3 linked regions of the Schizosaccharomyces pombe genome follow. Changing the gene in region 1 together with any one later gene gives a genetic interaction. Each region holds a gene or a part of one and is shown on either strand. Other genes may lie near its edges.

The links.
Region 2: of cay1 (region 1) and rif1, changing one enhances a phenotype caused by changing the other (phenotypic enhancement), as found in Schizosaccharomyces pombe (one study listed by BioGRID).
Region 3: mutations in cay1 (region 1) and tls1 impair growth when combined (synthetic growth defect), as found in Schizosaccharomyces pombe (one study listed by BioGRID).

What each region holds. Positions count from the first base shown.
Region 1 is NC_003423.3:1,711,057-1,714,891, reverse strand, and holds the start of cay1 (cactin), read right to left. Parts: upstream 2,026-3,835; 5' UTR 1,790-2,025; coding exon 1,664-1,789; exon of another isoform or gene 1,618-1,663; coding exon 1,366-1,617; exon of another isoform or gene 1,311-1,365; coding exon 1,218-1,310; exon of another isoform or gene 1,172-1,217; coding exon 719-1,171; exon of another isoform or gene 636-718; coding exon 6-635; 3' UTR 1-5. Other genes in the region: kinesin-8 family plus-end directed microtubule motor Klp5, read left to right, coding at 2,971-3,001, 3,058-3,835. UniProt on the Schizosaccharomyces pombe protein: Plays a role in pre-mRNA splicing by facilitating excision of introns featuring long spacing between the branchpoint and 3'-splice site (ss).
Region 2 is NC_003424.3:2,764,617-2,768,216, forward strand, and holds the start of rif1 (telomere length regulator Rif1), read left to right. Parts: upstream 1-1,656; 5' UTR 1,657-1,753; coding exon 1,754-3,600. Other genes in the region: tpz1 (telomere-protecting protein), read right to left, coding at 1-136, 175-209, 256-506, 550-647, 704-817. UniProt on the Schizosaccharomyces pombe protein: Negatively regulates telomere length. Appears to play no role in transcriptional silencing of telomeric loci.
Region 3 is NC_003424.3:637,157-640,991, forward strand, and holds the start of tls1 (splicing factor Tls1), read left to right. Parts: upstream 1-2,235; 5' UTR 2,236-2,254; coding exon 2,255-3,019; 3' UTR 3,020-3,242; coding exon of another isoform or gene 3,243-3,791; 3' UTR 3,792-3,835. Other genes in the region: peptidase Oct1, read right to left, coding at 1-2,155; grh1 (GRASP family protein), read right to left, coding at 3,243-3,791.

The sequences.
Region 1 (3,835 bases):
TTATTTTACCTTCTATGATGAAGCTTTTTGAATCGAAAATGGAGGGATAAAACACCATTGTCAAAACTGCTTTTAAACCCATGATCTCGTTTTGCACTGTAATCCCAATCTTTATCTACTATACTGAAGGCAATATCCTGATATGGTTCCCCAGCTATAAAACGTATAATGCAAACATCGTCTTGTAAATCAGTAGTGTCGCTTTTATTCTTCCTTCGTGTTCGTTCTATTCGATACGTTGGTGCACGGCCTGTACCTATTAAATCTGGATAAAAAACGTTAAAACGGTACCCTTGAACTGCTTTGGGAGGTGGGTGGGCTTCATTGAAATGTGCTTGATTATAAGAATTCCATTCAAACCCAAGCAAAACTCTATTAAAGTAGTGAGGCTTTTTCAAAGTAACCCCGTTTTCGTTAACAACACGGGTTTGCCCTTCTACATAGTCCCCAAGCATCTCTTGCTCCTCTGCATCATCGGATTGTAAGTATTCTCTTTCGAGTCGTGCCCTGTTGGCAATTGAAAATTCATCCTCGTTAATCAGATTACTGTTTTTCGGCAAAGTTGGCTTTTGTTTTTGGGTAGGTATCGATATTGGAATATAAGTGCTAGACTTTACAATATTGACATGATCATTCTAGAAAAGATTTTGGTTAGGACAAAAGATGGAAATCGTAATTTGGAAGAGAGTTAATATTATGAAAAACACAAATATCTTACCAATTCTTTTTCATAATCGGCTTGTTCTTCAGGTTGTATCCTGCGTGGTATCGCTTGAGCCCTCAAAATGGGCTTCGGGTCTATAGGGACAATATATAACTTCTCTTCACGATCCTTCATATTTGACAGTTTTTTGGCATCGGAAAAAGCTTTGTCCCATTCTTCATTATCAAGTTTATTTTTTCGAATTTGTAATTCTTCATTAAAAGTCTTTTTTAAATAAGCAATGGCCTTGTAAGATTTTAAAGAGTTTAGTAAATCAACCCAATAATCTGTATCGAGAGGGACATTGCTCTTCAATTTTTTTTGAATTTGTGCCTCAAGCTGTTCTAATTGTTCAAAAGATTTAGGGGCTAAAATCCTTTGTACTTCACCTGCTACGACCTTTAACCCTCTTGAAAATTGCCCAACTTTGTTATGTTCCATTCGAGAATTCACTAGCATTTTAACGTACTATAATGTATAATTTAGCACTTAAAGCATAAAAAATAATCCATACCTTCCAATAAGTTAGTCTACATTGGTTCGTTTCCAGCTGCTGAATATCACCAATATTTCTAGATATCTCCTCCAAATCTTCTGCTTTATAACTCTAAGTATGTTAATGATTAATCTGTTATAAAGTAAAAATAAAATAAGTCCCTTACTTGAATAACAGAGAGTGGATCAAACATGTCAACTGTTCCAAAATCAATTGAATTTTTTTCTCCATTCTCTTCCCATTCTGGGCCTGGCATCAAGTAAACGCTGACAAGAAGTTTATCTATAGGCTTAGAACGATCATTCTTAAGTCGAATAATAGCTCTTCGAAGCTGCTGTAAACGCAAAAATTCCCGTTCTTGCATTTCTTTCGTTTCCCTACTTCGCTCTTCCTCTTTCATAGCATCTCTCACTCTCGGCTAAAGGGAAGGTTAATTCAAAAACAACTAACATTTTCCTACTTACTAAATTATAATTTGCTCTTGCATTTTGATTTGAAGGTCGAAATGAACGAGGTGAAGAAGATCTCGAAGCATGCCTTTTTTCAGGTCTACTTCTGTTGAAATCGCGAGTTGAATCACGAAATGCCATAGTAATATATTTAAATTCAATGCCTTAAATACCAATATTGCTGTATGAAGGGTGCTTTCCAACAGAAGAGAATCCAATTGCTTTTTTTTTATTTGAAACAACTCAATGAGTAGGTTAAGTTTTTTTTTTTGAAATTTGAAACGTAGAGCTTTGTTATTTGATAAATGAACTTAAGGTAATCAATTACTTAGCAATAATAAGACTTATCCAACAATAGTAAAATTTATGGTTATGGCAAAGGTGAAATTTTATTGCATATTCGAATGCTTAGTAGGTAGTTCTAATTTGACGCTTGGTGGTTTGAAAGAAATTGAGCGGTAATGTTATAGCACGAAAAACCCCTAATTCATTATAGTTGCTATTGGTAAAAGTCTCAACGATATCGACTAAAAGGTGAAGTAAAACTCAGTATTTAGTACCTAACGAATATAGGAATACCCAATATAAAATATAGAATATAATTTTGTTTATAGCGCTCACTAGTCCTCTGCTTTCAAACTAATCAGATATTTAGGCCATCAGTTAATTGGCAATAAAGTAGCTAGTGCAGCAGTTGTGGTGTTTATAGAAGTGCTAGAAGAATATATACACTTATTTGATGTTCTATTGCAATTATAGGTGAAAATGATTTAAATTTGTCGGACGATTTATTAAAGTGTGATAAAAGTAAAGCAAAGCAAGAATCTTGCCAGGCATGTGTACATTATAAGTTACAAACCAAACGATAGCGATTCAGTTCAATCATCGAATTTAGTTGCCTTTTATAATAATAAAAATACTGTAAAAGCATCTATGATACTGAGATAGCATTATACACAACTAGTGAAAATGAAAAGGTAAAACAGTATTTCAACTCGATTTTAATCGTAACTACCTGTATTTGTGTTTATTGTCAAAATATGTAAATAATGTAATTGTTTACATCTTTTATTGCCATAACAACCATTCAAAACAAAGTGCGTTACTTGACTAAGAAATGTAACTTGGCAAATGCCAAACAGTCAACATTGAAGCGCACTCAAAAAACGCGTTTCTCGCTCTTTTCTACTGTTACATCTATTTTAATAGTGATCTTCGATATAAATTGCTTTTATTCAAGAAGGTTATTGGAATTGTTGTTTGCGAGTGCCCTTCTTTTCATCTGTTTTGGATGATTGCTTGCATGGAAATTTTGCTTTTCAATGTCAAGACAGTCGTCCATTACCGTTACAGGTTAGTCTTTAATGTGATGTTTTTTAAATTCATATCTTTTTGCTAACATAAAATAGTCCGTGTTCGCCCATTTAGTACAGCTGAATCTGCAAATTTAATTGCATCCTCAGATCGTTTATCATTTGGAACATCTTCTTCCTTAAGGAACCCTGGTTCAGGACGTCAAATTCGACGAGTAGTAAAGGTACTTGATGGACGTGTCTTGGTATTTGATCCCCCGGATGAAACAACGGCTACTTTGAGTGCCACAAACCGCAGACTTTCTACTTCTCAACAGAGTCTCGCTAGATTATCTAGAAAGTCAAACAATTCTGCGGGATTTGGCCGTGATCTTCGTTATGCTTTTGATAGGGTTTTTGATGAAACTGCTACTCAGCAACAGGTGTATGAGAGAACTGCCAGGCCGTTATTAGACAATATTTTGGATGGATTCAATGCTACTATCTTTGCATATGGAGCAACTGGATGTGGTAAAACTCACACCATTAGTGGAACAATGCAAGATCCTGGTTTAATATATTTGACACTAAAAGAACTTTTTGAGAGAATGGATCATTTAAGAGATGAAAAAATTTTTGACCTTCGCCTTTCCTATTTGGAAATTTATAATGAAACTATTCGTGATTTATTAGTATCACCGACCCCAAATCAAGCAAAGCCATTAAATTTACGGGAAGATGCAGACCGTCGCATTACTGTACCAGGTCTTACTTCTTTGTCTCCAGAATCTTTGGAAGAAATCATTGATATTATCATGAAGGGAAATGCTAATCGTACTATGTCTCCGACAGAAGCTAACGCTGCTTCATCTCGTTCGCATGCTGTATTGCAGGT
Region 2 (3,600 bases), on another chromosome or scaffold:
ACTCCTTTTCTAAGATCAGTTGCTGTCCTTTTGGAATGATGCATTCTTCTATACTTAAGGAAGTCATATTTTTCCAATGAAATTGGATGTTATTTTTGATATCTCTAGAATTACTAGTATTGTCATTAGGTTTTTCCTTGACATTAGTAAACTTGGCTAAAATTTACAAAATACCTGTTGACTAAGGGAGGCTTCCTGGTAAGACGATCCTAGAAAAAGGGTCAATTATAGATCGTGTAAAATTACAAATAATACCTTCTTTAATTGATCGGTTAAATTCATTGGCAAGCGCAGCAAGATAAGGTGATTGAAGCAATGCATTAAACAATGCAGAAGTTGTAATAGCTTTAGGGTTTCCAAAAACAGCACCCTCACAACCCTGAAAATTAAATGACTCTACTTGTATCCAAGGAATAATGCCTGATTGACTAGGAATTAAGTGAATTAAAAAATTGCCCAATGTCACGATACCTCCTCTTAAAGATGTTATCCTTTTTTCAGTAAAACTAAAAATCACAATCAATATTGTGCTGATAAATTGAAACATACTTATTTAAGTCCGAAATGCTCTGAGACGAAAACTCTGCTTCAATGTAAAACTCTGTATCGGATAGCTTGCATCGAATTGGATGTTCGTATCGTATATACTGAAGTTTAAATATAGTCAGAATTGGTTCGAAAGATAGAAGATAAAGTATAATACCTCAAATATTTGTAAAGGCTGACATTTAAATACACGTATCGGAAGGACATCTGCGTTTTTGATCAAATTCAATAGTCCATTCTCAAGCCAAGGATGTTTTAAGCAATTTGACATTGCACTGTTTAACGCAGCTAACTTTTATATAAAAATCAACTTTTTTTAATAAGTAACAGTGCTGACTGAAGTCTGTTGATATTTAATCGTCTACTTTTTTTCTTGAAAGCAAGGTCAGCAGAACACTGCATTCATCATTTCCTCAAAACAAAATAATTGAAATATTATCATCAACTCCAAGGACTTGGTTCTTCTAGTTTAGTTACTGTCAAAAGCACTTTCAATCTAGATTTTGGATAACAACTTTTCAGTATTCCAAATCTTTAGAAGTTACTACTCATGTATTTAGTAATGGTTCATCCAAAAATTTATAAGAGAAGAATCAAATAATAGCAGGTTGCTGTATCTCCCATTAACAAAATTGACTTACTTCAAAGGAATTGCTGTAACCTTCTACCCCAGACGACAAAACTTGAAAAATTAGGCAAGAATTTTCTTTTGCTTAGAACTGTTTTATAAAATTTTGGTGATAAGTTAATAAAGGGTGGAATGAATTGGCTTAAGAATGTACTGAGTTATTTAGTTACTGCACTTATTACTACAAGAATTTTAACCACGCATTTTAAATGTGCGGATATCAAACATACTAAAGATTGAAGCAATTACCGGACATTTATTTATAAAAGATCAACAATACAACCAATCTGCTTTTCAATTTTATTCTTTATACTACTTCAATTTGCTGCTGCTAAGTCTAAATTGGTGTACAGAAATAAGTAAAAAAAATTTCATAATTGAAAGAATAAATTAGCTTTTTTCAGTGTTGTTAAAGATCTCAATAGCTTGGTACCGTGCTGAACAGTGTTTACATCTATAACTCAACTCACATTTAGCCTACTACCACCATTTTGTAAATAAACTTATTTGTGCAATTTTTTGGTGCGATCGGTCCCATGAAGCTAAAACATTTTTAAAAGCATAACAGCTGATGTTGCGATGACAAAAGAAATTGCTGTGAAGGAGGCTTCAAATATGCTTCTACAAGAACCTTCAACCCCATCATCACAAGCTGTAGGACTGAGCAGCTCACCTAGTAGTTCGATTCGTAAGAAGAAGGTAAATTTTAGTAGTGAACTAGAAAATTCCCCCGGTGGAAATCGACCATCTTTCGGTTTACCCAAACGAGGTATCTTAAAAACTTCAACACCTCTATCTAGTATCAAACAACCAAATTTTCAATCCTTTGAAGGAAATGAATCTGAAAAAGAGACTTCCTTGCAAGAACTACAATCCTCGTTTTGTTCCGGAATAGAAAATCTTCAACATGTTGAAAAATCTGCTCGAATCGAAACATACTCAAAACTGTCTTCCTTTTTGAAAATCTATACACCAAGTCTTCCCGAGGATCCAATATTCCCCCTTTTAAATCAACTTTGCAATTTTTTATTATCGGATAGATGCTCTAACAATTCAGAGGGTAGTCCCGATTTTCAATTGAATACTCAAGCAAACAAACTTCTCAGCATACTTCTTTGGCATCCAACTATTTCTTCTCACATTCAACCAGAAACTGCCACAGTCTTCATTGAGCAGTCGCTGAATTTTTTAGAAGGACCAAAGTTAACTAAAGCACTCGCGGCTCAGCATTTGCATCTTCTTTCTTGTCAAAAATGCCCTCTTTCCATTCACCCTTTATGTAATCGTATTTTAGACGTGTGTTTTAACATTTCATTCCCTTCCCTTGTTATAGGTCAGGAGCGATTAGCTGTCTTAACAAAAATTTTAAGCCAATTTCCACTAGAATTTTCGCGTCGTGTAGTTGATTGGGCTCCTTATCTGCTAGCTTGTTTAGTTGATGCCTCAAGGCCTATCCGTGAGAAAGCGTTATTACTTGCTTTGGACCTGAGCAAACATTTGTATCACGACAAGTTAGTCGCACGGACTATCCTCGCTAATTTTAGAAGTGATATTAAGGGAACTGCATTTGTTCTTATCATGACAGAGCAATTTGAGAAGCTTGTCATTGAAGAAGACGACGGTGTCTATGTGGCTCATGCCTGGGCTGCCATCATATCAGTTTTGGGAGGTGCAAGAATTTCCTCATGGGAATACTTTAACACATGGCTTAAAATTATTCAGCTTTGTTTTAACAGCATGAATCCTTTAACTAAGTGTGCAGCCCAAACATCTTGGATCCGTTTAATTCATGAGTTTTCTCTTTCTGAAACCCTCACACAAGCTACCAAGCGGTTAACTCTTTTGTGTCAGCCTATTTCCATGGTTCTAGGTTCAAGGAATTTGCCAACAGTAAAGAATGCAGCAATGACTACTTTGATTGCTTTAATATATGCATGTTTGAGGCCCGGAATCTCTGATGCCATGCTCTCTTTACTGTGGGATTCAGTTATTGTCAACATACTTGAAAAGTGTGCCTTGAAAAACGAGGTTACTATTTTTGAGTCTTCTAACATACTTTTGGCTCTCTTTAACACGCTGTCTAATGGAGTTTGGAAAGATGACCGCTTGGTTTGCCGTGAATCGGTAGAAGCAAAAGAACTTCCAAAGCTCAATCCTGTTTGGGTTCGTGCTAATTGTAGTCGGACAATTGAACCGGTCAAGACTTTACTTTTATTAGCCAAACCAGATCATACTGTTAAAACCACTACGCCTGCTCGTAAACAGCATATACGAGGTCTTAGTTATGAACAAAGTTCGTCTGTTTGGAGTACTTATATAAAGTGTTTGGCCAGTGCTGGACAGAAGGAAATTAAAAGGTCTGTAGAGACTGGCCGAGCTATATGCTGCATATGCTCATCGCTTCACAAATTTTTATATTCGAAATC
Region 3 (3,835 bases), on another chromosome or scaffold:
GGATGGCTTTACGAAATTTCTCACCAGCCTCACGGCTTAATGGATTTCCAGCAAAAAGTTTACTAAAGATTAGCGAAGCCAATACCGTATCAAAAATGTATGAATAATAAGTAGCGCTATATCCATAAAGATGACTAAACTGAAGATACCAAGCAGCAGGTGGAGCAGACTCAAACCCACTGAACTTTCTGGTTACATTAGTAACTTCATCGATAGAATTAAATGACGGATCTAAGACAACCTTCGAGTGAAACAATTGATCCACCATAGCCATACAAATTTGAGATTGTAAATCTAAGGGTGCTGAACTATTTTCAACCATGTTATGATGGTTCAAAACTTGTACAGGTAATGGAATCTCAGTTCCTTCGTAGCGAGCATAAAGCGGTAATACGGCTGGATTTGACATAAAAAACTCCATAATAATTGAAGGAAGTTCAACAAAGTCGGTTGCACAACGAGTTCCGGCTAAGTTCTGATATTTAGTATGACCTAGAATGGAATGCATGGCATGCCCCATCTCGTGAAAAAGTGTTTTCACATCCCACAAATCTAAAAAGGTAGGATCCATTCCACTAGAACGTACGAAATTACACAATAACGAAATGACAGGTATTTGATACCGTTTGTTATCCTTGACCCTTATATTAGTAGCATCATCAAATCCAAGACTTATAGAATCGTCAAAGCTTGTCAAGTCTAATTCCCGAGAAGAACGAATTGTAAAATGAGCAGCTCCATCTGTTTTTCCTGTTCGAGCAAATAGATCGAAATAAATTACACCCATTACATGATCATTTTCATTGTAAACATTGACCTTATTTACATCAGGATGCCATACCTCACCAGGGGAAATGTCCGCTGGAACAAAACGAAGCCCATATAAAGAACTAAATAGTCTAGATAGACCTTGAATAACTGTACCAACAGAAAAAAAACGCCGATAATTCGTTATAGAAGGGTTTAAAGAAGGCTTTTGATTTATAAGAGATTGTTTATAGCGAGCAGTATAATATTCCCTGTCCCAAACATCAAATGATGGAAGAAAATTCAAGTTTAACTCTTTTTTCTTCATTAACGCGAGATTGTTTAAAATCTTTTTTAACACGGAAGAATTTTTTAATGATAAGTTCTCTAAAAATTCAACAACATGTTTAGGAGCATTAGCCATTTTATCTATAAGTTGTAAATCTGCAAAACTACTTTTTCCCACTAGTTTCGCAACTTCCGCTTTAGACCTCAAATAGGAATTTAGCAATTCGACTTCTTCAACTGTTCCTTTATGACCTTCCATGTAAATTTCTTTCCTGACGTCGGGATTTGCTACACTAATCAAGGCCTGTGTACCTTCGTATCCAACAGTTGGAATCATAATAAAGTTTTTGTCATTCTTAGAGAGTGAGCGTACAAAATATGGGTCCGAACCAGCCAGACGTTGCTTAGAAATAGTTAAATAACGCTGAGGACGATTCATGCTATTATTAAAAAATGCTCTTCCAAGAGTTGCAGATTCAGAGGACTTTTTAACAAAGGAGTTTCTTTTCGAGCTCTCTAAATTTACGCCCGATTTTTCAAAATCTTGGAGGAATACTCTTCCAACAGTATATGCTTCAGGATCTGTATCTTTCAACGTAGGAGTCTGTTGTAAAGAACACTTTAATTTTTCGTAAAGACCTTGATGAGTGTTTAAAGTGTTCATCAGCTCAAATAGATAACTGTAAGCTTCTTCTGCTTTCATTACCACCATCTTGTCAGGATGGGCGCAGCGCACAAACTCAAAAAGGTCAATGACACTGCATAGTAAGTTAGAAATCCTGTCAAATTTGCTGACTACAATTGACCCGTCTTCAGTATCCTCGAGCAAAAGATCCTCAATCACGGCCTTACATTTTTCAGATGCAGTTTCCGCGAGCCTTAGGAAGCCGGTATCTTTGTCGGAAAGGAAGTGATTACGAAACAATCCTACTCCCTGAATTCCATTTCTTTTCGTTATCTGGTTCACAGCTATATTCTGATCATCAAAAATTTGACGCAACAATTGGTCTTCCGCTTTGCGACTTTGAACATTAGAATATTTTCGATAAAGACTAAGAATGCACTGCCTATTTCCAATTACTTTTTTTTTTCCCAATGTAAGCAAAGTTCTTACTTGCATCGTAATATGCGACAAATTTTTGGTACATGTACAGGCTATATGAATGGTATATATTTCCAGGAGGGTTTACTTGAAATACCAACCACAAAAAGTATCCGCATGAATAGTATACATATAAAAAAGAAAAGCAATCGATCGTTCAGAAGAAGAAAAGTTTTTGGAAATGAAAAAGAATTTGATTTAGAAGAATTAGATGATAATGATATTCGTCTACGGCAAGCTTTGGAAGCTACTAAGAGGCGAAAAATTAGAAATTCGATTATCGGGATAAATGCTGAAAAGTTATTAAATCAAGAAACAAAAAAAGAGAAACAATTGAACACTGCTAATGAGCCTCATGAAGCTAATGATCAGACCTCAGCTCAATCGTCGAAACTTATAGAGGCGCAACTTCCAACCGTCGAAGATAGGTTTGCTAAACAAACAAACGAGGTTGACATCAACACGCATTTATTAAACTTTGTTGAAAAAAAACTGAAACAGGAAAGGTTGGCCCAAAACTACTCAGAAAATGGAGAGACTAATGCACTTAATACAAAAAATGAATCGACGGTACAAAACATAAAAAATTCCTTACATCCAAATGAACATTCATTTATTAGAGATGCAGCTGCTCTTGGTGCTATACGTGAAGTAGATTTAGGGATTATTAGTACCGACGTTGATAATTTGAAAAATGGTCGGAAACGACAAAAAAAAAGAGCAAGAATGAAAGAAAAACTAGACTCGAAGGCTCTTCGCACCTCTGAGGACGCTGCTCGGGATGAATTTATTGAAAAAATGTTAAAACCGATATCCCAAGATGAAGAAAGTAAGGGAATCTACAGGCGTTTTCGCGTTTACAAGGATGGAACTCAGGATTAACGATAATAAAAAAGAAGCAACAGTTTGGCAAGGTTCATTAATTCAAATTATTTATTACATTTTTTGAGTAATCAATTCGGATAAAGAGGTTTGTTTGTGTTTTATAAAATCCTTACTCAAAACCTCAAATGTTTATTTATCAAAAATATAGTTTTGTAACTTTTAATCATTATGGGCATTAAAAAGAGGGCTTTTGCTAGAAAAGACGAGCTTAACTAAATAACTAATTTTTCACAAGTTCTTCATTTTGAGGCGCTGATTCATCGTTTGTTGAATTAACAGCGACAGGAGGAGGAGGAGGCAAAGGAGTTGTTTGGGAATCGTTAGTAGAAGAAGCGTCTTTGGTTTTATGATCCAATTCTCTGCTTAGTTTTTCTTCTTCATCTAAATATGATTGAATAGAAGAATCTTGGATAGCGCCTTTATGAGACTTCTTATGTCTTTGATAGTGCGGGATAGATATTTCATTGCTAGATCCAGCATTAGCAGAAGCGATTTTAGGTGGTTCTGGAGTAGGCAAAAAGTTTTCAGTTTCACTGGGCTGAGACACTTTATGATCTGGACCCCCCAGCATGGGATTTGAAAACACAATGTCCCCAGGTTGTGGAGGAGGTCCTGACAAAGGAGCGGGTAAGCGATGCAAGACGCCATGTCCAACACCACATCCAATAGCTCCATTACCTCCCCAATGACGATTTGGGACAATGGTAACTTGACGAGTGGAGTCGCGATAATGATTGTAGATATACAGGCGTAAGGGTCTGTTGAGATGCTGTTAAATTGTTAGTCAAATAATTTATCTTAGCACATAATTTA